4 linked regions of the Astyanax mexicanus genome follow. The protein of the gene in region 2 interacts with the protein of the main gene of each other region in a pairwise test. Links are inferred from orthologs where the notes say so. Each region holds a gene or a part of one and is shown on either strand. Other genes may lie near its edges.

What was found.
Region 1: the proteins of htt (region 2) and ptk6a interact in binary tests that used the Homo sapiens proteins (3 or more experiments, as listed by UniProt). The link is inferred for Astyanax mexicanus from reciprocal best matches to the Homo sapiens genes HTT and PTK6.
Region 3: the proteins of htt (region 2) and mkrn2 interact in binary tests that used the Homo sapiens proteins (3 or more experiments, as listed by UniProt). The link is inferred for Astyanax mexicanus from reciprocal best matches to the Homo sapiens genes HTT and MKRN2.
Region 4: the proteins of htt (region 2) and hypk interact in binary tests that used the Homo sapiens proteins (3 or more experiments, as listed by UniProt). The link is inferred for Astyanax mexicanus from reciprocal best matches to the Homo sapiens genes HTT and HYPK.

Annotation. Positions count from the first base shown.
Region 1 is NC_064419.1:39,952,848-39,959,713, forward strand, and holds the start of ptk6a (protein-tyrosine kinase 6), read right to left. Parts: upstream 3,012-6,866; 5' UTR 2,995-3,011; coding exon 2,552-2,994; intron 1,473-2,551; coding exon 1,351-1,472; intron 191-1,350; coding exon 27-190; intron 1-26. UniProt on the Homo sapiens protein: Non-receptor tyrosine-protein kinase implicated in the regulation of a variety of signaling pathways that control the differentiation and maintenance of normal epithelia, as well as tumor growth.
Region 2 is NC_064414.1:46,260,987-46,268,448, reverse strand, and holds the start of htt (huntingtin), read right to left. Parts: upstream 3,013-7,462; 5' UTR 2,663-3,012; coding exon 2,565-2,662; intron 887-2,564; coding exon 803-886; intron 1-802. Other genes in the region: C-type lectin domain family 4 member E, read right to left, coding at 4,611-4,749, 5,820-5,923, 6,560-6,684, 6,834-7,085.
Region 3 is NC_064431.1:12,838,528-12,846,045, reverse strand, and holds the start of mkrn2 (E3 ubiquitin-protein ligase makorin-2), read left to right. Parts: upstream 1-4,506; 5' UTR 4,507-4,588; coding exon 4,589-4,614; intron 4,615-5,597; coding exon 5,598-5,726; intron 5,727-6,411; coding exon 6,412-6,563; intron 6,564-6,764; coding exon 6,765-7,078; intron 7,079-7,518. Other genes in the region: mkrn2os.1 (MKRN2 opposite strand, tandem duplicate 1), read right to left, coding at 1,188-1,395, 2,209-2,371, 2,792-2,838, 3,268-3,488. UniProt on the Homo sapiens protein: E3 ubiquitin ligase catalyzing the covalent attachment of ubiquitin moieties onto substrate proteins.
Region 4 is NC_064430.1:121,692-129,031, forward strand, and holds hypk (huntingtin-interacting protein K), read left to right. Parts: upstream 1-4,440; 5' UTR 4,441-4,513; coding exon 4,514-4,675; intron 4,676-5,528; coding exon 5,529-5,584; intron 5,585-5,684; coding exon 5,685-5,736; intron 5,737-6,606; coding exon 6,607-6,702; 3' UTR 6,703-6,836; downstream 6,837-7,340. Other genes in the region: mfap1 (microfibrillar-associated protein 1), read right to left, coding at 7,153-7,332. UniProt on the Homo sapiens protein: Component of several N-terminal acetyltransferase complexes. Inhibits the N-terminal acetylation activity of the N-terminal acetyltransferase NAA10-NAA15 complex (also called the NatA complex).

The sequences.
Region 1 (6,866 bases), on a different chromosome or scaffold from region 2:
GTAGCTCACATACAGTACACACTCACCCGTGTGCAGGGCTCTCCGAGGAGGGTGCCGGAGCTCAGAGGATGGCTTTTATAATGCTCCACTAACTGCTCCAGTCCGGGGAAAGTGGAATCAGGGTCCACATAGAAACCCTCCTCATCCTCATAAACTTTAAAGTGCTTCACCTCCTTATCGCTTAGTCGAACTAACAGACAGAGAGAGAGAGAGAGAGAGAGAGAGAGAGAGAGAGAAAGTGGGATATTAGATTAGATTATTATACATGAGAGATCCTATTATCCTGAATTTGCATTAAAAAAAACACAGTATCGATTAGAGATGCATAATAATATGGGAATTACATCAGTATGGATCGATAATTCCCTTTTTCTTTTTTTTTAACCATTGGAATCGGATGATATGGCCAACATTTCAAACTGATATTTGCTGATGTATTTATTGTATGCTGGAAAAGGACCAAACAATGCTTTCTGTGCTACTACAACTGGCCATGTTACTTTAAAATATATTGATTTAAGCTCATTTTTGTTTATTTTTATTAGTTTCAAAGTTACCAGGGTATCTAGCTTCTTCTCTGTTATAAATATGCATATCGGCATCAACGTCAACAGATATATAAAGGCTTAGAATTCCCACATCGGTGTATCCCCAGTATCTATATATTTTTTACAATTATTTACATGTAAACATTGGTGTCAGACAGTCGTTCATTTAGTGTTGTAATTAAACCCTGCCCACTAGATAGCAGTGTGGAACTCACAGTTATTTTTTTTTATATTAAAATAATCACGATACATCACCTACAGTGTCACAATTAATCACAATATATTGAATTTTAAGCCCTGTACTGTTCTACATATTGTATACAGCCCTAGTGCAGAGGGAGTCTATTTTGTATTATACCAGTTTGCTAGTTTAAACTATGCCATCCGCAATATGGTGGTTTGGAAAGAGAAAGGAGAAAAGGAGTCAACATTTATTAGTGTTCAAACACTAGTGATTAGTGATCAAACTGTCCTTTTTTTTTATTAGTCAATATAATATTTTTATTTTTACACCTTACACATATTTTTTACACCCTATTTAACTACGCAATGGTGAAAAAAGTGGAAAAATAAATTCTGAAAAAAAGAAAAATTCTGTTTCAGAAAATTTTAATTTTAGTGGATCCCTACCTGTCATGGGAACAAGATAGAGATTGTATTTACACAATTTTAGACTGGGAACTGGAAAAGGGGGGATTGTAATTTTATAACACCTCTAAATGAGAAATATACAATGACCTTCTTTCACTTCACATAGACAAGTCACAATGTACTGCACTGTACTTCTGAACAATTCACTTACCTGACAGCACACAGCCCACCTCATCCCTTTCACTGCGTCGCAGCAGAAATGCACCGACCTTGTTACCTGCGGCCAAAAGCAGTTTCTGGGTCTCCAGGCGATTCAGTGACCCAAAATACCATCTGAAAAAAAACAGGAGATGACATTCTTCCTCACCAGGTAATTTAATTTTCTTTGACTAGTGAATTACCGTAGTTAAAAGGGAGTGCAGATGTTAAATCCTTCTGGATCACACTAGGGACCTGAACAGATCTTAGATATTGTAAGTATTATTCTGTGTCCCATCTGAACCTGGATGTTAGGATTTCTGAGTTCCAAATAGGACATTTTAACTGGAATGCCCCTACAAGCCACATTTCTCACAAGTCAGAAGAGCCTCATGCTGTGCTTCATTTACCTCAAACATTAGATATAGGAATGACATCACAACCCAACAAAACCCATCTAAACAGAGGTACGATACAAGTACTTTTCTGTACTTAATGTACACTTTTCGTAATTGTACCCTCAAAGGTATAATATTCTGTATAATAATATTCCAATCTTTACAGTGTCTGATGTGTTCCTTCAGAAGTACAAAGTATTTCCTTACAGCAGGTAATACAGATTTGTACCATTTAACCAGTCAAAATGTACATTCTGCATTCCGTATCACTGTACTAATAAACAACATATATTGTGATTATACATGTTTCATTTGAAATCCAGACAATTTTGGATCATCAAGTTCTTGACACATATTCAGGTGATGATGATGTTTATAATCTTTACTGGTACAAAAAAACATGGGTATAAAAAAAATAATTTTACTGAAAACTACTCTATTATACCTCAATATAAGGTACAGCCCAAGAGACAAGCTATATACTCTTTAAGTACAAATCTGTACTTACTTTTCTTAGTGTTTAACAGCAGGAAGTACAGATTTGTACCATTTTACCAGCCAAAATGTACATCCTGTGTTCAGTATCTCTATACTAAAAACAATACATATTGATGATGTTTATAATCTCTCTTACAAAAAACATGGGTACAAAAAATACTTAAATATAATTCAATAAAGGTACAGCCCCAGTTTTGTACTCTTTTAAGTACAAATCTGTACTTTTTTTCTAAGTGTGTTCAGTGCACAACAAAAATAAAGGATTTTTTTTTTTGCAGTTCCTGTACTTTAGGAGGGACTGTATGTGAAAACACTCACGGTTGTTCCTCCAGGGTCTGCTCTTTTGCCAGGTAGTTGGAGGGCACGAAGCCCTCAGCCTGTATGAGTCCCTGCGGGCTGATCTTCTCCACCCGACACCACTCTCCCTCCTGCTGCAGCATCCTAAACGAGTCTCCAGTCTGGAAGGAGAGCTCGTCCACGGCGCGGCCCTGGAAACTCCACAGCGCCTTATACAGAGCCCGGGCAGCTGGCGGGTCCGCTGGCTGGGCTGTGGGCGGCTGTGTCGGCGGCTGGGTGTAGTTGTAGGTGCCGATCTCTGGGTTCTCGAAGTTGGAGTCTCCATCTCTCTGCTCTGCTGCCTCTCCCTCCTCCTCCTCCTCCTCCTTCTTCTTCTCTGCCTGTGTGAAGAGGCTGGAGAGCAGAGTCTGGAGGCTCTGGAGACTCGGGCAGGGGCAGCGAGCCTCCCCCTCAGGACCCTTCATCTGGGTGGAGGTGAAGAGACTGAGAAGTGTGTGTCTACATCTCCTCAGAGTGTGTGTGAGTGAGTGAGTAAGGTGTGTGTGAGTGTTGGGGCGGATGTCTCAGGTTGGGCAGGTGTATTTATGGGAGGAGCTTAAAAAAGAAAAAAAAAAACTTTCCATAAAACAGTTGCTATTGGATCATTACCAGAATTGTTGTGGTTTGAGGTTTTCATAACTTTCAAGAAAATGAATTATGTAGGTAAATCATTGAAATGCCTACATTTATAAAAAACATCTACAAAACATTGATATATATATATATATATATATATATATATATATACTTTTAACAAACTTAAAAGAAAGGCTGTCAATCTAAACAGGCAGAATTGTGAAAGAGTGGTTCAGGTAGAATGAGATCATCATCTTCACACATGGATTGTTCACCACAGAGTCCAGACCGTAAAAAAGAGAACTCAGGTGTAAAATGGACTTTTGGTCTAGTAAAAACATGATAAAAAGACCTTACCTTTGTTGAATAGCCCAGCACTCTTTACAACGACCGTATCAGGGTATATTTTGCCTTGATAAATTGCTTTTTACATCTTTATCCAGGCTCAAAGTAGCTCCTCAACTTTTAGGTAGAATCCAGAGAGCCCTGACATTTAAAAAGAGGCATTAATAACTTAAAAAGTTCAAAAGAAGCTTATTAAAAACCACTGTTTACATCCCATAATGCTAACTTTCAGCTTTGTGTGCCACTATCACTGTACTGATAATGACAGACATGTATATACATAGACTCTGCATAGCCTGCCTCCTGGTGTAGCAGCCAGCGCCCAGTGCATTTAATTACATATATATATTATATATATATATATATATATATATATATATATATATATATATAGGAGGAGTTGTGGTTATTATAGGTGTATTAAACACCTTTCTCAGTGTAAGTAAATGCACTGGGCGCCGGCTGCTACACCAAGAGGCAGGCTATGCGGAGTCTATGTATATATGTCTGTCATTATCAGTACAATGATGGCGGTGCCCAGAGCTTCAAGAAGTGATATGGGATGTAAACAGTGGCTTTTAATAAACTTCTTGTGCATTTTTAAAGTTAATAATACCTTGTTTTAAATGTCAGAGCTCTCCAGAATCTACCAATGAGGCGTGTGTAGCTACTTTGAGCCTTGATAATGGTGTAAAAAAGCGATTTATCAGGGAAAAATATGCCCCAAAGCGTCCGTCGTAAAGAGTGCTTGGCAAAAAGCACAAAATTACTGAATTTGCTGTAAAAAGCTGTAGGAAAGCGAAGGTGGGCTATTCATTTATGTACGTAATTAATAACAACACTGGATTGAAATAAATCTAGTGACATTGCAGAAGCTTATCAAAAGAAAGCCACAGTGTGCATGCTGTAATCAAAGCTAAAGGCGGTTCAAGAAATATTAGGGTGTGTGAGCTTTTTTTTTATGGCGATATTTTTTTTTGGACAGGCAGTTTACCAAGAGTGTACAGATCTGTCCTCAAAGCTAAATGTGGTGCTTAAAAATCTATAGTATTAAACATATTCTGGTTTTATTTAACATTTTTATTTACAGAATAAATGTGCATGTGTTCATGTAAAGCTTTAACTGTACACTAGCAGAGTGGATGTAGTGTTTCTAATAAAGTGGCCACCGTGTGTATGGGCTTCAATGGACTAGCTACCTGTACAAGCTGTAAGAAACATGGTGAAGGTGAAGCAGGCAGTGTTGCATCAGTGGTTAGAGCACCAGGTTATTGATGACAGGGTTTTGGGCTCAGTAACCAGGTTTGACAAGCAGTCACAGTTGGGCCCTTAAGCCTAAGACCCCCAGGGATGATGACCCACTGCTCCAGGCACTTGTGCTCACTAGTGTGTATGTGTGTGCTCAGTGGCAGAGACCAGACTCCATCAGTGTCCAACACAAATGATGAATATGGATGTCTTTCTAATATTTTCTGTATTTATTATGTATTTGTACAACTCAAATGATGCATGTATGTGTGTGTGTGTTCAAAAGACAGAAACCCACCACAGAATGAGATTTTTCAGCTCACTGTTTTTATTCAGCAACTCCGTGACACACACACCTCTGGAGGAAAGAGCCTAGCAACTCTGCAGCAGGTGGAAAACCAGACAGTTTTTCAGACCGTAGCGTTGACACCACACTGAAAATGTAAAAAGAGTCTTTTTTTTTCTCAGACGATAATGAGTCTCTTATCAGAGTGATATGTTCAAGGTGGGAAACTCCCCCTCCTCCCTCCCCGCGTTTTTTTTTTTTGTCTTCTTTTTTTTTTGCATGAAACAAACAGAAATGGAATTACCTGCCATTTTTTCCATCTTTTAGTCGCTTCACATATATTCATATATATATTTATATTTATCAACACTTTCTAAAGAATTCAAATATTCAGCCACGTGTACTGAAAAGAAGATTCACTTTTAAATCACAATAATAAATATAAAAAAAGGATATATAGCAAATCCGATATAAATGACGTGGTAGTAGAGAGAGAGAGAGAGAGCGAGGACTGGTCGGTCAGGACATATTGGCCTGTAGTTAAAAACAACAGAACAAAAAAAACAAAACAAAACTCAGATTCAACGGTTCCTGAGGTTCCTATGTTCCCCATATAGACGAACAACATGAGGGGAATGGCTTTTTAAAATCACTGAGAAGCTTCTACAAAAGGTCAAAGTGCAAAATCGAACATTAGAGACCATAACCACATTGGAAAATCTTTAGTCGCGTGGGCCGCTGAGAGGAGGCCGTTTCATTGGCCTTATTTACAAAACAACATTTCAAGTCTTTGCGAAAGGTCAGAAAACATCATTTGAAAGCCGTTAACAAGCAGGCCCTCCGTTTGCTCCGTGTCGTATTTAAGGGAGGAGGATTGGTGTTGCACTTTGAGCTGATAAGAAGCTCTCTGTTGCTCTCTCGCCGTTTTTTTTTTTTCTTCATCATCCAGCACTTTTATTTTCTTTTACCCACCAGCAGTGACTACTGCACCCTGCCTCTAAAGGCCCTTGCACATGGACCCCAGCCCCAATTCACTCCAGACCTAACGCTGAGGAAGTAATGCACTTCTGAGGTGCAAACAATTAAAAAAAGATAAATAAAAAAATCTAACAGTGTTTACGAGAGAGGTAAAGCGAACCTGTAAAGGAAAACAGGCTTCCGTTACAGTAGCACTACAATGAATCGATTTCAAGACTTGGAGTCCCGGTGAGAACGTGAATAAGAAACAGAAGAAAAGTATAAACAACTGTCAAGAAATGCTCAATGAGAGTGTTCTCATTAACAGATATGCCCTGGGATACTAACACGAACCACTGTGGAGCAACAACCGTCACAGATACTCGTTTTTTTTTTTGTTTGTTTTGTTTTTCTTTTTTTTGTAAATTGTGCAAGGACCTTAAACAGTAGTTTAACCAAGTCTCTATAACCTTCTAACATAGCCCCTCCATGCACTAGATTCAAGAAGCAACTCAAGTCCTAAAACAAAGGCTGTGGGGGCTGAGCGGAGGGGTGAGTTCTTAAACGAACACAAAAAAAAAAAGAGAAAGAAAAAAACAACGACGAAATAAAAAACGACAAAAGAATCGGATCCTCTGTACATGTAAACATCACACACTTCCACTGAGTCAAAAAACCAGAAAGAAATAATACAAAGCTTCACATTGGTATACAAAGAGAAACGGCGGCCTCGGCCCGCGGTTTCCAGTAGGTACAGGAGTAGAAACAAATAAAATACAATAATCATATTAAGAACAATAACAATAATTTTACAAAGCACCACAAAATTAAAAGAAACACAGGCAATGGTTGTTTTACCACATTTTGATTGCAGACCTCAGCTGC
Region 2 (7,462 bases):
AGTCAGTCAAACTAATATAGTCATGGTCTGGACACTACAGAAAGATCACTTTAATTAACTGTCATCATAGCAGCAAGCTTCTTTAGTCAGCGAGAGGATGACATATTAAGACACAGTAACAGCACTGCAAGACATTCTTCTGCAGCTGAAGTAGACTGTTTTTCTCAATTGCTATGACAGAGAACATTTGTACAAGTTATTTGGTGGATCTTTCACAGCCTTCAAGGGGTGAAAAGCAGCACCATAAAACCATACAATTAAACCATTTATTTATATCATCCAAAAATTGATTATTGTGAGAGGCCTACAAACAAACAGCACATTATTATTTCTTCAGTATATTTGGTGTACATTAGAGTGTTATTTTCTGAGAATATTTTCATTATTCAAAAAAAAAATGCTTAAAATGTGAGGCATCCTAAAAACCTTAACTACAACCATCACATTGTGCTACACATTTGTTCTCCTTGAGAAAAAAACGAAATAAGTAAATCCAGATAACATTTTTCCAAAGGTCTTTTATTCCACATTCCTAGTGAGTGGTGGTGTTTTGAGCCCTGTGTTAATCTGAGTCCCTGAATAAATCAGTTTTATGTCTTTAGTTGATACTTTTAATAATCTGTTTTTAATGACTAATAAAATGTAAAAAAAAAAAATAATAAATAAAAATAATAATAATAATAATAATAATTAAAAAATAATAATAATAATATAAATATTAATAATAATAATCTGTTAATCCTTAATCTGAATTGCTTTATAAATGTGTTACTCACAAGATCAAACAACAAGTACTGCATACCTCAGAGATTGTGCTACGATGTTCTCGCATATCGTCAAACAATGAGTCACTCTGTCCTTTTTGGTCGTGGCTAGATCTTTTTTCCTACAAAGAAGTAACATGTTTTAGCAATTAACAAATAAACAACTGAAAAAACATGGTCAAAATGAGAATTTTTATTTTTATTATATTTCTGACTGTTCCTTAATCTAAAAACAAATAAGAAATAAACTGCACTACAAATGTACAACAAAAGAGTTCAGCTCATTTCTGAGGAATCATTCTGAGGATCATTTGTTCTTTATACTCTTCCAGCAATACAGCCAAGACAGGCTCTTCAGAGGCATGCATAACAAGTTTCTGTGTAAACTACTTTAAAGTTAAAAAGGGTAATTATTTTTATTACTCTAGTCTTTTAAACAGTAAGAACTCTCTGACTACAGATTTAAGGTAGGTAGATGATTGAAAAACTTGGGTGCATAATCCCTCTTGGTAGTAAGAATACAATATATACAAAATATAAAAATACAGGACAAAGGCACATTATACATATATATATATATATATATATATATATATATATATATATATATATACAAATATATATATATATACATATACATATATATATATATATATATATATATATATATATATATATATACACACACACATATACACACAATTCGCAAGAATGTTCAGATTGTACATTTTCCTGACCTAGCACACATGATTTCAGCTCCATTTTACAGATAGAGGTTTTAAAAACCATGCACCATTTTCTTTTCAGTTCACACTTAATTGCTACTTGTGTTTGTCTATCACATAACATCCCAATATAATATAATTACGTTTGTTTGTGTAACGTATAACTACGTTATTTCTTTGTGTAAGTGTTCAGTGTATTACCATATACATAAGAATATACAGACTAATCATTGCACCTTTCCCAGCTTAACAGGAGAAAGATAAAACCTTCTTAACTTTAAATTGAAGTCAAGGTAAAAATAATTTATATTAGGTTATCTTGGGGAATTTCTATTGGTGCATTGAGCAATAAAACTTTGACAAAGTGTGAAAATGTTTATTTGTTCAAATTAACTAAAAATTAAACTGTCAAAAACGGAGATGCTTGATTTTTATTTTTAGCAACGATATACAGCTATGTAGCTATATAAACAAGAATATACAGATGAATACCTGCATCACTTCCAGCTCTAGCACACCTGATATCTGCTTCAGTATATATCTAATAATATATCTAATAGGCAATAATTAAGCTGATGTAAAGGAAAAACATAACACAGCTAACCTAATGCTTTTACTGGGCACAAGACAAGCTAAGACAAGCTAAGAAGCACTGATTTATTAGCCAGTGCATCACTAGCCATTAAGGTGTTTATCAGCTAGCTATTGCAGATAAATGAGTCAGGGTCATTAGATTGTATGCACTGAAAATGCTTTCCTAAAGACAGATAGCCAAATAGCTAACCTACTATTTAATAAAATTAACTAACGTTTCCTAACACTGTATTATTTGGTATAAGCAAATCTTGACCGTTAGCTAGTTAGTAAGGTAGCTAAGCAGGTCAGCTGACGTCTTTGGCTACCAGCTTGACAGCTAGCAACATAGCTTAGCTAAGCTAACTGGCTAAATATGTCAACACATAACGCTAGCTAAGCTAATTAGCTAACCTAGCTAAATGACTGGTTTAGACTGGTGGAGACACGGCTAGCCAGCTAACGCTGTAGCTACGTTATCGTCCCCTCCCCTCAGACTTACTGTTTCTGGACGAGCTCCTCGGCTGACAGCGGGCCCTGCTGCTGCTGGAACGACTTCAGCGATTCGAAGGCCTTCATCAGCTTCTCCATGGTGGCCATGACAGCGGGCCGCGCGGCCGGCGAGCTCCGGGGGAACAGCCGCCAGCCAGCGGGCTAGGTACTAACTAGCTTAGCTTAGCTTAGCCAGCTAATATTTACACCTGTGGGGTTAGCCAGCCTGCTAACCAGCGCGCAGGGCGAGCAACGCTCCGAGAAACAGCCCACGGGAATTCAGCAGCCCGACAGTACCGGGGAAAACCCGCAGCGACCGTGAGCCTCGGCCGTTAAACCCGTTACCGGACTCCGCGCGCGCCGGGACGTCAGCGGGACGCAGAAAGCGCGAGCGGAGCGCAGCTCACAGCGGGTCTGATCCGCACAGCCATCTTTACACCGCAGCAACCCGCGAGCACAATACACACAGCGAACAGAGAAACCTGTCAAAATAAGAGTCCTCCCACCCCCTCAGCAGAAACCCATTCATTCCTGAAAGTCCGTGCTCATTCATGTTTTGGTATACCTTCTATACAACATGGATGGATAGATGGATGGATGGTAGGGGTGGGCGATATGGCTCTAAAATAATATCACAATATTTGCGATAACGATATACTTGGCGATATAGGAAAACAGAAAAATGGATGGATGGATGGATGGATGGATGGTCATTTGAGCACGGAAAAAGATCACTGTATCAGTAGCATTCGGTTCTGTCAGAATAAATAAATAAATATATGAAATATAAAATATACAGTAAATACATAAATAGAATTGAATTGAACAGATAGATAGACAGACACATAAAATACATACATAAATTGATTAGATTTTAATAGAAGTGAATGGATAGGTAGAACGCATAATAAGAACAATAGAGAACAGAAAATATGGTGTGTTGAGCAAAGTATGATTCAATATCAATCCACTGTGAACTGTCTCTATAGCAAATAAAATCTGCATTTTTGGATTTTAGTTCATTAGACAAACCATGTAGAGTACCAATCAAACGTCTAAATGTATTTAAATTAAACTATTTCTTTTTATGATGTTCTACATTGTCAAAATTATTCAAGACATCAAATAAATAAACTTAAGAAACATAGATACGTCTTCATTCACTAACTGTAACAATGTCTCCCTCTGCTGGCCCTAATTGGTTACTACAGACTAGTGCTGCTCCCACAGGAGCCTAAACTGTGTTTGTATGGCTGGTTTAACCTTTTTTTTTACCCTTTTCTCTTCTTTTATAGGTCTGGATTATGGATGTGTCTGTTCTCTGCTCTGGCCTTCCTGTGTGTTGACAGCTGCCTGTTTTCATGACTATGAGTTTTAGACAAGACCTGAAAAACTCATGCAGTACATGCAGTCTGTTAAACTCTGCATTTACTACCCACCCAAACACAGCTTTTCCCTCGGGCTTTCAGGGGCCTTAACAGTTTAACACTAACTAACAGATGTCGCTCCACAGGCCATCAATGCCTTTACACATTGTGATGATTTAAGCAATTGTATATACAGTGTTACCCCTGGACTCCATTCTTATACACAAAGGGCCAGTGTTAATTATTTATTCTAAACTTTAGTTGTGTGGCTTATTGTATTTTATGTGCAGTGCCACTTCCCCTGCTGCTCCTCTCCTAGTTTACTAATTTTCAATCAATCTATCAATAAATCACTAATATTTTTTTCTCAGAGGTACAATGAGAGTGACCCTCATTTTCATTGCAGCCAAACATTTAAAGATATTAAAGACAGGGACTGAAAGAGAAAATAAAAACACAATCTACTCACAACTAATATAAAATTATTAAATTAGCATTTATTTATAAAATAAAAAATAAATTAATATAAATAGGACTAATTAAATCAAAAATCCTGCCTACGAAGACTACAACTTAATATAAAATATATACAAATTAGAACATGTTCAGTTTACATAAGCTAAAGTAAAAAAAAAAGTGCATTTTCCACTTAAAGAAATGAGAATAATTTATTTTAAAGGGTGTGTAATCTATCTTTCACACACCCAGTGCTTCTCATAAGAGCACTGGTAATCATTCCAGGTTCTTAACGGATTTATCCCAGTCGTTTGTATGGAAGCACAGTTTTGGTTTCCATTAAAGTTGTTGGGCTGATCTTCCATCCAGTACCTGAAACAGCACAGGAGTAGGGTTCATGTTTAATTACTGATTTCACCCAAAATCACATAAAACACAACATCTCTTAGTGATTCTCAGTCCTACTCAAATCTGGCATCCAGAGGGCAGCAGTGTAACCCTCTACAACATCATTGCCAGCCCATCACTGCTCCATTGCTACCTGTTACTTTTATTTTACCCAAAGAAACATGTAGCTGTATTGGGGGGGAAAAAAAAAACAACAATGTATGCATATTGATTATGTACATTTTGAAGCAGTGTTTACCTTACAAAACTTTTTTTTCATTTAAATACATAAAAGCAAAAAAAAAGAGTATTCCAAATGATTTGAGTATTCCATGATGTGGGCCTTTATAAGAGCTGTTTTTATGATTTAAATCTTGTTGAACTGAGTGAAACAACAAAAACGTTTCTGGATTCATTTCACTCAGTGCATGTTTAACCATCCAAAAAGTAGAAAAGTATTCCTAGAAACCTATATATAATTAAACTGTTGGATTATTAAACACGGTTTACGTATAATAGTTCACTTCTCCTTTGAAACACAAATGCAATCATATCATGTTTGTTATAATAAGGATTAACATGACCCTAAGTGTGTGCATTTGATAGGATGTTGCGATTACATTAAATTAGTAATTTTCCATTTACATGCACAGTAATTAAAAAAATATATATTCTGAAATTAATTTTAGATGTTTAAATGCAATATTATTAAACTATAAATCTGGCCAATTTGATCTGCAACATAACAGGAGGTTTTAGACATGACTAAAATATTGAAAATGCTTTTTTTCTGTTTGGCCAGCGCAAATTATGTTGAAACCCTTAAAATCTCAGTGTCACTGGGTAGAGCTTTGTTGTTAATGGTAAATTATAAATACACTCCTCTCCAAAAGTATTGGAAAATTTAGGTCAATCCCATTTCAGCCTTTATTTCCAGGTATTTGTATCTGAAAATCTAGGTCAGGAACCATTACATTAACAGCCAATAGGAGTAAAAGTTCAATAATATTTATTTTTCTTCATTTAAGTAATAAAAGTAATAAAAAGTCTCTCACCCCAGAGTTTGTGTCGTGTTGTCTACCCATTTCCAAACTCCCTCTGTTTCTTCATCAGTTAGACCAATCCACATATCCTCTCTGGAAAATCCTGATACAAAAATCTGTTTACATGTAGTAAAATACATTACTAGCATGTGCCCCTTATTATCTATCTATCTATCTATCTATCTATCTATCTATCTATCTATCTATCTATCTATCTATCTATCTATCTATCTATCTATCTATCTATCTACACCCAGTATTTTCTACACTAAAATCATACAGTAAATAACTCTTTAACAATGTTCTTCTGTAAAACTGTAGAACGCAATGCATCTTGGGATGTCCTATGAAAACAGCTGTCATCTGTATATATAACTGTAACATTTGTGGGAAAAACAGGTGTTTATATTTAAAACATTTTACGGACATTTACTGCTTTGTTGTGAGACCAGAAACAGCCTACAAACATCCCTAATTTGCATATTGGGCGTGTCTTCCCACGCCTAACTTACCATTAGTGTGGATTCTTGCCTGCCAGGGCTATTTCCTGTTGGGTACTGAGTTATATTTTATATAATGGTTGCTTTCCTGGACACAGGGGTGTAGGTCTTAAGAGCAAGTAACATTTACTTTACTGCCAAGCATGATTTCACATGCTTTACAGTATTATGTCAATAATCATTTTGCAGCACTTTACTGGAACTAAAGACCCCAAACATTGAAAGTACAATCTTTCTCTCTCTGTCTCTCACCTGTTCCTCCTTTGTGTTTATGATCACCAGGTCAGCACCTATCGTCCTGCAGTGCTGTCTGCTCTTAGCCCAGGTCTTTTTCTCAGTAGAGGTGTAGTAAATGCTGGAGTTAAAATACCTCCAACCTTGAGGAAGAGCAGTGGTTAAATTATTATTATGCATTTAGTTTATTTATAGATATATTTAGTGTAACAACTGTCCGAACAAACAGTCATCAGAAGAAAAAGCTTGAATTATTACCTTTAAATAAAGAAACATAATAAACTAAGCTTACCTAAATGATTGAACTTCTGTGCTATCCTCTGGTTCTCGCTCTGTAAAAGACGCTGGGCCGTGGTCAGACTGGTGTAACTGGTCTGTAACAGGTCTTTCTCTATAGTAAGGTTATTGATAGTGTTTTGTAAATGTTCTTTATCAAACATGTGCTTCAGACACAGTGTGGTGATGGTAGCAGCTTGGAGAACACACAGTAGCCCCAAACATCCTGCAGAGATTCTCATGCACTTGTTCAGAGTTGACTCAGCTTCTAAAGAAATATCCGCCCACACACACACACACACACACACACACACACACACATTTTCATTCATAACACCCTTATTATGCAGAACTCAGATATGTAGACAAATTTTGTAATGGAATGTTTTCTTTCATGCTTTAAATAACCGTTTTCTCCTCTAATCAAAAACATTTACCAAGTTTTATATACAGTATATTATGCTACACTACATGCTTGTTATATCAGTACAATCCCATTTACTGTATTTCATCCAAAGTTTAATAGCATGTTGCGAATTCTGGAATAAGTACATACTTTATTAGTAATACTTTATTATTAAAGCCCCTATTGTACTGTAGGTCCCCTTTAAATAAAGGTTTACCATGTACAAGAATCCTAATTTT
Region 3 (7,518 bases), on a different chromosome or scaffold from region 2:
TTGTGAGAGCCAGAAATCTTGTTTGTTTGTAGGTGACCAAATACTTATTTTCCACTATTATTTGCAAATAAATTATTTAAAAATCAGACAATGTGATTTTCTTATAGTTTTTCATTATGTCTCTCATAGTTTATCTATGATGTCAATTACAGGCCTCAGGAGAACTTGAACAATTGGTGACTGACTAATTATTTTCCTCACTGAAGTATGTAAATTTACTGTAAAATACTAATATGGGAGGACAACGGGGAAGAGAGGTAAGAGGGGCCACACAGGGAGAATTGACAGGTATGTATGAAGCCCGTAAAGCGTCAACATTTTATAGAACAACTAATCATTTAAACAGCGACATGTGCAAGAATGTCAAAATAATATGGCACAAGGATTTAAGTTACTCTACTGACGATGCATTGGAGGGAATTCTGTAGGCAGGGACATTAGAGAGGTTTAAGGAAAATGTATTCAGTACAAATATTTGCATAGGTAAAACCAATCCAGACTTTTTAGAATGGGTGTTGTTGATAATGATTTATCTTGGAAATGCCATTTTCTCATATGATATGGGAATGCCCAGTAATATACTTCTTCTGGAGTAGTATCCTCAAAGTAACAGGAGAATGCCTGGGACTACTGTATCAACCTCGCTACTGCCTCCTTGGAGATCGAACAGAAATCCCCAGGGTAAAAAAAAAAAACATGTCTAAAGTTGGACACAGATAATATTGCCTAATTGGAGGAGTAAAAATGTCCCTGAACTGAAATAAAGAACTAAACGGCATCTTATGAGGTCATGGGGAGACTTAATAGAGAGAAGAAAGTGAAAAGCTTATGGACCTGCACTCGACTTGACCTGCGTAGGCTTCGACCTTGTATTATTATATTGGCTATGCTGTTTCTGTGTATGTAAAAGTGTGCTGAGCATTGTGTCTGTACCTGTAATGTATGTTTAGTAAAAACAAAAATCTGAATAACAAAAAACAACTTAACAGTAGCTAACTAAACACACTAACATTTCTGTATTTACTGTGTGTGATTCATTTATATTATGTGAAATATACATACTGGCACCAAGACAATAGAAGAGATCCTTAATGTAGAACCTCCATGAGCATCAATGAGTCTTGGGCACCAATGATAACCCGGTCACTGGTTCACTGTCTCTCCTTCCACCAGTCTGACGCTCTTTCTTACTGGTTGTTCACGTAAAAGCCATTCTGCAGTATTTCTTCATACACTCTGATGAACATGGATGCGAGTTTAATCCTGGGTAGAACGTGCCTGCTGGTGAACTCATCTCTGCTCAGAGAGTCTTTACCGTCCACCGATCGCATGTGATTTATGAAGCTAAGAGCAAAACCATAACAACAGGACCCAAACTCCCTCTCTTCATGGAACCTGTAAAACAAAAACACTGGATTAATATTTTGTATTGACATTTATGACTGATCATAAACAGAGTTATATAGTTATAGTTATAGAGTTATATAGTGTTAATGAAATCAGTCTTGGATCTGATCAAACCAGGGAAGTGCACAATGAAAGAGAACTACAGTGATTAATATTAGCATTAACGATCATTATTAGTTAATGCATTAACTACTTTAAATATTTCTATTACCACAATTAACGATTATATTAGTTAACCTGAAAACATTAGGCCTATGTGGCTGTATAATGACTATCCTTAATTTGTAAGCATTCTGAAAAGAGGAGGATGGGTCTGTGAGCCTTGGTTCCTCCCAGTGTTTCTTTCTCTTCAGCACTGTAAAGATTTCTTTAATGTTACTTTGCACCAATATAAGTTGTAAAAAGTGCTATATAAATAAATCTTTATTGATTTGATTTGACTAGATGTTGGTATGCTGCTGTATACTGGGCATATCAGTGTTCCAGGGTACTGATGTAGGATGATTAGTTCCACGACTCTAACTCGTCCCAGCAGCACTGGATGACACTTCATCATTTCAGAGAACACAGTTCTTCCACTGCTCCACAGCTCAATGTTAGAGGGCTTTACATTTTTCTAACCCATGTTTGGCATTGGGCGTGAACACTCCAGAGCATGCTGTTCTATTGACCAGTGTTCTTCTTTTGAGATTATATAACAGGTAACTAGTAAATTTACTAATTTGGACAAGTTGTTTTACGAAATGCAATTAAAGGATAGTTCATATTAATGTTATTAATTGTTAGTTTAGAATTGTGTACCTCTCTGCAGCCCAGGTTGGAAGTGATGAAAACAGCTGTAATTCCTTATCCCAGGAATCTACAAGAGAATCTCTCCAAGGTGGAATCAGCTGTATGCAGACACACTGTTCCCATCCCTGCTCGTCTATCTGGACCCCTGATAATGTGTAGTTATAGACCAAGCCTTGAGACAACACAAAGGTAAAAATCTTAATGCTCGTCATCTACATAACATAGCCTATACAAATACACAAGTTGGTTAACCAGCTATTGGTCAGAGTATTTTGCATTAGATTTTAGTCATGCTGGTCAATCTAGGTCATTGGTTGGTTGATATGCTTGTAATTACTTGTCATACTGGTCAACCAGCACAGTCATGCTAGCCACACTGGTCGACCAGCTTTGTCATTATGGTCAACCAATGGGGTGTTGCTGGTCATGCTGTTTGACCATCTTTGTCTTTTTGGTCGACTAGCTTGGTTTGGCTGGTCATACCGGTATTCAAAAAAATAATAGCATTTGGCTGTTTTTAGGCTGGGGTTTAAAGGGTTCATTATACATTCTCACCCAAAACTGACAGACTATCACCTTAAATGTAACTCACCTGCTGAGTTTGAGATGCCGACGTGTAGCTCTGAATCATTCCACTCTCTGTAAGAGTAAAGAACAGTGTAAAACCTTTATTAAACTCAGTTAATCTCAGTCTGACTCAATTCGACTCAGTTAGACTTAATTAGACTCAATTAGACTTAATTAATCTCAGTTAAATTCAGTTAGACTCAATTAGACTCAGTTATCTCAGTTAAATTTAGTTAGACTCGGATAGACTTAGTTAGACTCAGTTAAACTCAGATGATTCAGTTAGACTCGGATAGACTCAGTTAGACTCAGATAGACTCAGTTAGACTCAGATAGACTCAGTTAGATTCAGTTAAACTCGGATAGACTCAGTTAGACTCAGATAGACTCAGTTAGATTCAGTTAAACTCGGATAGACTCAGTTAGACTCGAATAGACTCAGTTAGATTCAGTTAAACTCGGATGATTCAGTTAGACTCGGATAGATTAAGTTAGACTCACCCCAGAGACCGCGGCCCCTCTCTCGCTCCTATCAGAAACGCGCACGGGGCTCTGTGGCCGCTGCTGAACGGACCGGGCAGCGCGACAGGCGCGTCCAGCAGTCCCAGTACCGGCGGCTGCTGACAGACTGGGCACAGACCAGTTCCAGTACCGGCCTGTGGATCTGCGAAGGTGTAGATATCTCTCCCGCAGTGGCGGAACTTCACCACGGCCCGCTCCATTACAGCTTCACCACATCCCGTTTAATCTAACCCACCTGCTCGCTGCTCTCCTGCGCTACGATTGGCTGCATTCGGCTGGAGTTCTGGTCAGTCTGAACTACTGGCCAATCAGACATCAGCGGGGGCGGGGTTCATATTTTACGACGGGAAGAAAGACGCGTTTATTTGCCTTTAATATGATGATCCATCTCTTTATGATAATATAAGATTTATTATTTATCTCTTCTAAAAAACAACACGTTCCCGCAATAAAAAACATCTAGATTGTGAATAATGTACATATTATAAACTAGTTTTATTTTATCAAATATGTTAACTGTGTAGATTTTATGTATAGGTTTCTGACACTTGATTTATATTTTACGTACAATGTATTGAAAGGTAAAACGTAATTTGCTCAACCTGTAAGATATGTAAATTAAATCGGTAAACAATAGGCCATATTTTATATATTTTTATGTCATCTATTATCTACCTCTGTTATAAAAACCATAGAACTTCTAATCTCATTATTTTGTGTAAACTGTTGAAAATAAATCAACAATATCTTAATTATTTGTCAAATGTGTTATTGTGATATACTGAGTGATAATCTATTTAATTTGTCAAAAAAGATGACAACACGATATACAGCTCAATATATACAGACAATGATAACGTATGTAGTGATTCCATGTTACATTATTTTATGAATATATTTCTTGCTACAAATCAACCGGTTATATTGTAAAGTATGTTTCTGTATGGTGTTTCAAAATCGCCCCCTTTTGACTTTGGGCACCTGCCCCTCCAAATGTCGAAGTGTTGAACCAAAATATGTTTTATGCTTTAGATTCTTTAAAGTAGCAACTTTTTGCTTAGATCTCAATTTTGCCCACTTGTTATTATTCTCTCAGTCGGCTGTAAGTGCTAGAACCTGGAAAGGTTCTCCAGCTGCCTGTAAGGAGCTGTAGAGGTGCTGTGCTGTTCAGGGTAAATCTCTGCACTGGGCGGAACTAATAAACCCGGGTCGCTGGTGTTCGGGGAAAGAGTTGGAGCTGCGCGTGCAGGAGAGGCGGGGGACCGGGCCGGGGTTATTAACTGCGTGGATTTCGGGGAATATGTCTACAAAGCAGGTGACCTGCAGGTAACTCACCTGGACGGGGGGTTCGGGAGCGCGAGGCGGAGGAGGGCAGGTGGGCCGGGCGGGTCTACGGGGGGCGGAGGTGCCGCTGTAGCCTCTCAGTGCGCGGTTAGCAGCTAAGCGGCTAACGGCGGTCTGCGGGTTTACTGATCAGTGCAGCTGTTTCTGTTAACAGCGCTAACTATATTACTACTATATAACTAATATATAACCTATATTACCCGCAGTAAACACAGCGCTACTGACCCTGCTCCCCCATCATTATACTCAGATACTGGGGATCAGCCCGCTGTGTGTGAGAGCCAGGATTACTAGCTGTCTGTCTGTCTGTCTGTCTGGGGTAAATATCTGAGATCTGTGTGTTGGACTCTGACATTTTCCTGAACTGAAACTGTTATACTGCGTTCGAATTATTAATAATTTCTGTATAAATACCTGTTTTTGTGTTTATGTTGTAATATTTATCTCATAATTTTAACACTTAAAGCTTCAGTATCTTTTTTTACCATGTTTTCAGCTTGTTTTAAATCAGTTATATAGAATTGTAAGCACCACAAAATCTGGAATGCTCGGCCTCACATTTTGTAGTCAAAAACTTATTATAATGACCCTCACCCAGCTTACGTATACTTATGTAATGCGAGGCACATGCTTAAAAAAAAACTGAAAGTAAGTACAGTTAATGGCAAAACAAACTGCTTTTAAGAATACCGCGTTGTCACGATTTGGAGTTCGTGTGTATATATTACAAAATCGAACAAAATGCATATATATATATATATATATATATATATATATATATATATATATATATATATATATATATATATATATATATATATTTGACTTGTACTGTCTATTATATATTTCTAGTTAGTATAAATGTTCACATATATCTCATGATTGTAAAATAAAAAATACAAATGGATAAATATTGTAAAAGTTTTTTCTATGTATTTCTGATATTTCCTTTCTTCTTTTCTCAGGTATTTCATTCATGGTGTTTGTCGAGAGGGGAACAGATGCATGTTCTCACATGATCTGGCAAACAGCAAACCCTCAACGATATGTAAATTTTTCCAAAAAGGTGTCTGTGCCTATGGCGAGCGATGCAGGTAATGTTTTTTTTTTTTTTTTAACTTATGTCTTGCATATGCGCTTAATGTATGCTGCCAGTCAAGAATTTGTGTTAAGAAATTATTCTGACTGATATTAATGTACTTTTAAATATAAGCCTAACCTAAAGCCACTAAATATTTGACCAACTAGGACACGTGAGATATTCTGCAATTTCAGTAACTCATTATTCAACTAAAACAAGTAGTTTTTGTATTTGATCATGATTTTAATTTCTGCTGAACAATTTGTTGACTAATTTATTTTAAGTAATTTCAGCAGCTGCAATTTTTTAATCATTGTGTAATTTATATAGTAAATAATATATTTGGTCTTGCTTAAAAAAAAAAGCACAAAGTTACAATTTGAAAGCTTCAAAATTTGAATAAACACTGAACATTTTAGAATCCCAGCAGAGACACCAACAAACCACAGGAAGACTTATTGTTTGGTTATTGTTCTATATAAATTATTTTTAGAATTTCACCTGAATATCAAAAGTGCTTTCGGTTGATTTGGTTGACGATTATCCACCACTTCTATAACTGGATTATCGAGAAGGCTTGACGTGTTGGAGTAGTTACTCTAGTTAGCCGGACTGAATTTCCTGGATCCTTTTAATCAATTACTCAACTACTCTAAAATCATACATTAGCATAATGCATAATTTTGTCTATGTTTCAGATATGACCACATCAAACCGGGGGGGCGGGGAGGAGGGCCGCCTCTGGAGCACACAAACAGACCCAGTAGTGCTGGAGTGTCTGTCCCAGGACCAGGGCCTCCACCCAGTACAGGCAGAAACACTAAGAAACCAGTAGTGTTGAGAGACAGAGGTATGGCTGAAAAGTATTGGAAGTGTGTGTTACATCCTCATAAAGCTACAGAAAACGTTACATAAACTGAGGCAATGTTCTAGCAGTGGAAGGGATGTGTTAAGAAGGGTGACATGATGTAGAAAATCTCATATTGCAGTTTTTACCGTTGCAGCGAGTCGTCACATCATCCTTTTACATCCTTTTATCTTCTGCCTGCAGCTCTGGCCAGTGACACTAGAGGTCAGCCTTACAGTGGAGAAAGTGCAGAGGTTCGGGATTGCTGGGACTACAGAGAAGGTTCCCAGGCCAAACCTCACACCTACCTTGATGCCATTCGTACAGGGCTGGAGAGTTCAGCCACAGCCAGCCCGTACCCGGACGTGCCCCACCAGCCACAGCTCTGCCCGTATGCTGCCGCTGGCCAGTGTCAGTATGGCAGCACGTGCCCGTATCTTCATGGAGACATGTGTGAGATCTGCAGGTTGCAAGTTCTGCATCCGCACGACCAGGAGCAGAGGGCAGCACACGAGAAGGTGGATGAATATACCACATATATTTTCCACATAAATATAAATTTACCAGCGTTAACTAATGAGCTCATTTCATAGTTGTTGTGTAGATTATTACAGACTTGTGACGTAATATTATAGTTTATGGCATCAGTATGCTTCTGCTACCATCTGCCAGGCCATATATATTCATTAAAAAAACAGGGTTCCTCCATTAAGCTGCCGGCGCTCAGAGGGAGCAAAATTAGCCCTGCTCCCTCCGGGTGGGTAGATGGCGCTCTCTCCCCACATCACTCCTAGGGTGACGTCAGTTATCTTTGTTTCGTGTCGTACTCGAGGGATTGGCAACACTACACATTAGTCACCGACCAATCATCGTCCGTGTCCTCGTGTGAGTTCGTAGGCCATCGCGGGGGAAAATATACACATATATACACATATATATATACACATATATACGTGCG
Region 4 (7,340 bases), on a different chromosome or scaffold from region 2:
TTGTTATTATTATTATTAATATAATAATAATAATAATAATAATAATAATAATAATAATAATAATAATAATAATAATAATAGTATGCTAAATTGCAGTATTTGTTGTACACAAAACAACGGTGTGCAAACATTTGTGGACCCTTTATTCCATTGAGCTGTGGAGTAGAACTGTATTCTCTGGAATGGTATTGCTGCATACAACACTTCTAGGTTGATTTGGGGATGAGGTGGGAATGAGGTGGGGCATGAACATCCAACGTCCTGACGTTACTTACGCTTTTGTAACTGAATAAAATTAGATCCTCAAAGCAATCCTCCACAAATGTAGAGTCTTCTCTAGACAGTAGAGACCGTTACTCAAACAAAGGCAGGATGAACTCGGATCATAAACAGCAACCTAGCTGTTAGGTGATTGTCATGTTGTTTAAGGTGACTGAGTGAGAGAGTATAGTAAAGGGGAAGGGAATGGGCCATAACTCCAGTTATGTGCTGGATCATCTTCCTCTATTTTATGTTTCTAGTGTCTGGATCTGTATACTTTGGTCAAGTTTTTTCTTCTTTTTTTTTCTTCTTTTTTTTTTTTTTTTGCATATATGGGGTTTATAATGCTCGCTGGTCTTCTGTGGAACTTCAACTCAGAAGGGTTCCATCCCTAATCTCATATGAATAAAGTTCCCCTGATTTATATAATACCAGCTTGAGCAACTTGACCAAGCTTTATTTTGGTGTATCTTTACTGAAGTACTGGGAGAACTTTTACTTTAACTCCACTACATTTCCTAAATGGTCTCTGCTTTATTCTGATAGCATGTTTTGGGCTCTAGGCTGAGTCCTGAATGTATTTTACTCTAGACTCATTGTAGGGGTCTGTGGGGGAGTTTGGCAGTGTCATTTTTTGGCAGTGTCGCACTGTCAAAATCCTACTTCCCCTAGTAAGCCCCTTATGTTGAGTAAAATACATTTCAGGACTAGTGCCCAAGACATGCTATCAGAATAAAGGAGAGCCCCTCAGACCTTTGGGTGCTGAAATCAGAGGGTAGTCAAGTTTAACATTTTCTCTCTGATGAAGGTAAACAAAACATAAAATATGTGGATTTCCATTCATATTCAGTAAATGAAAAAGACTTAGAACATGTAAAGTCGGACCATTTTAAATGCCATCATATTAGCTAAAAGCTCCATAAAAATTTAAACATTGTTGGGTGTTTTAATTGTATATTGTGGTTTAACATCTTTTATATTCGTAATTGCACCCTAATTACTTTGCCATTAATAGTTATACGGAAGGCTTTGTAACCATGCTCTAAAGTAATTGGTTTATTTTGTATTTGAAAAGGGGTTTTCGAAATGTATTATTCTATTTTTGGCAAACTGTACATTTGTACATATGTTTATAGACTATGTTAATATACTGTGCAAGTGCATACTAACTGTGGCATGGGATACCTCTAACTGCATAGATCCACTGGGAAATCAAATGAAGTACAAATTCTTATGTATTCAAGGTATATGTTGTAAGTGATATTACTGTATCATTTTGAAGTAATGGGATACCAAATAAAAAAAAGTCTATTCAGTTTCCATAAAACAGATTTTGCAGTCCTATAAAACCGAATAGACTTTTTGTTTAGTTTGGTACCCATTTACTCCAAAATGATACATTAATATAATTTGATACTTACATTATTGAAACATGGAATGTATTCTGCAAGGATTACATGGTGTTATTGGATAACTATTCATTTGTGTTGTGGAAAAATATGTTGCATCAAAACCCTATAGTCAATTTTGAATAAACATTGACACTCCTGCACCTTTTCAGGAAATGTACGACTTCTCCCAAAAATTACTAAAACATCACCCTCAACAATACAATAGCTGTACATTCACTCTACGATTTACAAAACAATGACTAAAATGGATCACTTCCAGCAACCAAGAAAGAGTTTTACACTTTCACAGTGGTGCGCAGTATATGCTACCTATGATGTCATTATAGCAGTGAAGAAAAAAATCCAAGGGAGCAAGGCTGGGTTTCCCAAGAGGTTCTGAACACTAAGACAATTCATAGATGGTTCAGCAAGCTTCACACTGGGCACTCTCTCTCTGTTAAGATGTTCTTAATCCTAAGGTGCTATTAGTGACATAACGTGGAGACAGAGTGGTTTGCAAAATTATTCATACCCCCTTTTGTCACTTCGCAACCACAAACTTAAATATATTTGATTGAGATTTTAAGTGACAAACCAACACAAAGTAGCACATAATTGTGAAGTTGAAAGAAAATGATACATGGTTTTCAAATTTTCAATCAAATAAAAATCTAAATGTGACCTTCAAAAATATTCATCCCCCTTTACTCTGAACCCCCTAAATAAAATCCAGTGCAATCAATTGTCCTCAGAAGTCACTTAATTAGTTAATAGAGTCCAGCTGTGTGTAATTTAGTCTCTGTAATCACTAGAATTCCTTTTGTATATCATATTTTTTTACTTACTTTCTATTTCTCCCTAAATTCTCTCAAACTGTTGCTTTGTTTTAAAAAGCTTGTTTTATCACCAATACTGTATTATTATTATTGTTGTTGTTATTGTTAGACAAAGGGAAATACCTACATTAATCTATATCTATAATAATAAATACTACAATTTAAATATTGAGCAGGCCAGGTAGGTTTGAAAAAAGAAAAAAGTTGAATCGTTTTGACATAATATAATTGCATCACCCCCCAACTGCGCCTGCCTGCTCTCGCTGATCAGCACTAATTTCTATCCATAGTATATAAGTCAGAACTCTGTAATTTACTGAAATTATTAAAATCTACAAAGGTTTACATTTTTTTCGTTTCTACTAAATGTTTTAAACTGTTATACTATATAAAACTATAGTATTTATTGTGTTTCAAAAGTTTATTTATTTAAATTCTTTAAAATATTTAATTTATTGTCACCAAGAATATCATTATCACAAAAATACCCTGCAGCTAAATGACCTACCAATTTATCATTAAAAAAACTAAATATACATAAAAAAGACCTAAATTATGCCAATTTTGAGAGAGAAAAAAGAATGAATACAACAACACACCTAAAAGGAAAAAATAATAACAAAAGCAGGATTTGTATCAGTCTTTATTTATGTAGACATAATGCTTGGGTGTATGTTTAATTCCAATTAGTTTGGGTGAAATGTAGAAAAATGTAATGATGATCAGACATAATTACGTTTGATTTTTATTAATAACAGTTTGCAAAAAAATAACAATAACAAACAACAACATATTCCAGAGTAGAAATAGTATATTTCATGGTAAAGGTCTGGGTCCTGTTTCCCTCTTAGCATTAAGAACATTTAAACATGGAGAGAGAGCTCAGTGTGAAGCTCGCTCAACCATCTCAGACTTGTCTTAGTGCTACGAAACATTTGGGAAACTGGTCCTAGACTATTTTGTAACCCGAAAAAACAGGCTGGATGGCTCCCTCCTCAGTAATTGAACGATAGGTGGCAGTATGCAACTAATCAGCGATAAGAAAAAAACGCAGAAAAAGACAATTGAGCTTCATGAGATGAGCTTTCAGCTCAGGAGTTTACACAGTTCCACTTTTCACTGTGGATATCAGCGGCGTCCATTCTGAAAAAAGAAATAATATTCCAGTTAAATGGTGAGTCTTTTTCCGAGCACTCAAATAGGCAGTCGCCAGTTGCTGAAAATGCTAGTCGTTTAGGCAAGATCCCATATGTTCCGCGTTTTACCGTGTCCCTATATATATGTAGATTTTTCTCAAACCCTGAATGTCTATCTAGCTAATTCTAAAGTTAAGCTAACTGAGTCACAAGCTGGATTTTATTAAACACACAGTGGGTTTAATTTATGTTTTGATTCAGAGAAGAGTCTTTTTAACCAGCTATCAGAAACAATCTCATCACAGTTTACATGGTTAATTACCTTTCTTTTAGAAAAATCTCCGTATATCCAGATTAGCTTTAACGACAGCTGCTCCGACTAGCTGCCTGAACTCACAGCGAGGGGAGGGGCGGGGCTTCCTCCACACTAAACAGCTCTCCGCAAAACCAGCAAGCGGATTGGCTGTTTCTCCAGAAAGGCGGGACTTTCTCCTTGAACCGGCACTCGATTGGTTAAGAGACACACAGCGGTCAGTGCATTGTCGCCTGTGGCCTATATATTTTTTTATTTAGTATAATACGGGAAATTTACGGGAAAATACTAATACGGGAGGACGGCGGGAAAGAGGAGTAAAATACGGTAGTTTCCCGGCCAAAACGGGAGACTTGACAGGTATGTAAAACAGCACTGCTGCGGCGGCCTTTGTTTTCATTTCTGAAATGTGATAACCTTATTTGGGATGAGGCCTCGGTGTTACACTGATCTGTTCCCGGGTGGTGTTGACTGAGCGTTTGTAGGTTTGGGACGAGGCCTCGGTGTTACACTGATCTGTTTCCGGGTGGTAATAAGGGAGCGCTGCTGTGGTTCCGGGCGGCAGTAGGAGGAAACATGGCGGCGGAGGGAGATGTGGATCTGGATCTGGAGGCGGAGGAGAACTGCACCGGGAAGCCCACAGAGAAACCCCGCAAACACGACAGCGGCGCGGCGGATCTGGAGCGGGTGACGGACTATGCGGAGGAGAAGGAGATTTCCAGCTCGGACCTGGAGACGGTGAGTCCGGCCCGGTCCCGGTCCACGTGCTGCCCGAGCGCGCGGGTTTATTAATATAATAATCAGAATTACTGTAGATTAATCTGAGGGAGGAATAATCCGGATTAATCCGCTGCTGTTTCTCAGTTTCTGAGAATACAGGTTCACTCAGTTACTCACATTAACCCCCGGTGTTCCGCCCAGTTCTGATACCAATCCATATGGGGTTCCATGCACCAGTGCGCATGCGCGGATCCACATTGTATTATGTTTTCATGGATTTTTATGGCAATTCTGTTTTATTTAGGCGCATTAAACACATGAAGCCCTCTAAATATAAAAAGTATTATTACTGTATAGTCTGTGTGTAATTGGCAGTAAATTAGAAAAGTAATAATAAGACAATAAAAATACAGAAACGAGCTGTAATCACCTCTATTACCTTAAACTGAACCCTGATCTACTGATTCAGGATTAATAAATATCCTACAGAATCTCCTGCAGCAGCTTTTCCTTATATTCTGCTTATTTCTGTATTTTATATTTAAATAATCTACTATAGAGCAGCAGGATTTCACAGGGGAGCAGAAATCAGCAAAACACCCGGTCCCGAACCGGTAATCCAGCCCGGGATTATCCTTTATATTAATTTACATGGTTAAATTAGGAGTGTAAATTACCTATTTATTACCTGGGTTATTTATTAGTTAATGAGCTAGCGTTGGTAATTGTGTTAATTAGTGAGTAGTTAATGGGGTTGATTGGGGGTAATTAGTCAATAGTTAATTAGGTTAATTGGGTTAATTAGTGAGTAATTAATGAGGTTAATTAGTGAGTAGTTAATTGTTTTTTAATGGTTCTGTTTTCTCTGAAGGCGATGTCCGTGATCGGAGACAGGAGATCCAGAGAACAGAAGGCGAAACAGGAACGGTGAGAACTCAGTACATTTATTATTATTATCACTTTGTTTATTAATATTTTAAATATAGTTTAATAAATAAACTGAATTGTTTGCTTCTGTTTCCTGCAGAGAAAAAGAATTGGCTAAAGTGACGATTAAGAAGGAGGATGTGGAGCTGATAGTAAGTATGAAGTTTTTACTCCAGCAGCTTTTAATCAGGTTAAATCAGACTCTGGTTTGTTTTAAGAACGAGTGAAAAAGAATTAGAGTCTGATTTTACCAGAATAAATAATCAATTAGAGTAAATCACACAAACTGCTCCCAGTCAAACTCTTATTCTTATCTATAAAGATCTTGTTCTGAAGTGTTTTTGTTTTGCAGTTCAGACACTTGAAATGTTTAAATCCAGACCGAAAAACGTTTCTGTTCAACAGCTTTCAGTTCAGTTTAATCACACTACTATTATTATTATTATTATTATATTATTACTCGTTTATTTACCTGTATCTCCAGCATGTATTCTGAGTGACGTCCTGTGTATCTCAGACTGAGAGTGGTCCACATTGGAGTTTAGATCCAAAAACTCCAGACTCTACTCGACTAACCCTAACCGACCAATAAACCGCCATCAGGAGCCCAAAATGCCCGATTTCTGCCCCCAAATAATTCCATTACCCCGCGTCCACAGAGCGGCGAGGTGTAGTTTATAATGTAACTGTGATTATAACAGTCTAACTTCTGCTGATTTTCACCATCACAGTGTGCTCTGTTACTGTGCTGTATTCTGATCATCACACTGTAGCTTTATATAAATAATAAACAGCATTATACATTTTTATAACAGACCGTTCTCTTCAGCCCGACCCGACAGAGTTCTGTTCACATGTTCTGATTATTTTCAGTGATTTACTGTGATCTATTACAGTCAGTGCTGGGAGTTTGAACCAGTGTTGAGCGTGGTTAATTTCATTTATATTTTATGAATTTTAATTGTTTTTATAAGTTTATATAAACCTCTGTGTATTAAAGGTTCTGATGATCTGTGTTACAGATGGGGGAGATGGAGATCTCGCGAGGTGTGGCGGAGCGAAGTCTGAGAGAACACATGGGGAACGTGGTGGAGGCGCTGATCACCCTGACCAACTGAACATCACACACACACACACACACACACACACACACACACACACACACACACACACACACAATCACATCCCCCCCCCCCCCTTCCCCTCTGTATTGTGATTTTAATAAACTGTAATAAAATATTTCAGCTGTTTATTTAAGCAGTTCCTTTTTTAAATGAAGTTTGTGTTGTTAAAGAGTTAGGATAAGATGGAAATATGAATTTGTCACAGTAGTTTATTAAGAATAGCGATGCTGTACGATTTTTACACATTTCTGCTCAGAAGAAAAAAGTTCTATAAAGAAAATGAATCAAATGTACAAAACTAAAATAATAAACCTCCATTTTCTTCCCACTGGAACTGCAGTTCAGCACAAACAAATAAACCAGGGGGATTTAGGGGGAGAGAGGAGTAAAAACAGTTCTGCAGATTAATCTGAGATAACTGGTTTAAAGATGATCAGAGAGACTTCAGGTCTTCCTCTTCTGCACGGTGGGACGCTCGAACACGTCCCGCACTCCTCCGGCTCTCTGTTTGAAGAACTTGCTGTTCTGAGCGCTCTCCTGAGCCCAGGCCGAGTCGAACGACGTCGTGTCCTGATCCACCAGGTGTGTGTATTTAGTGCGTCCGGATCGACCGAAATTCTTCACCTGAATAA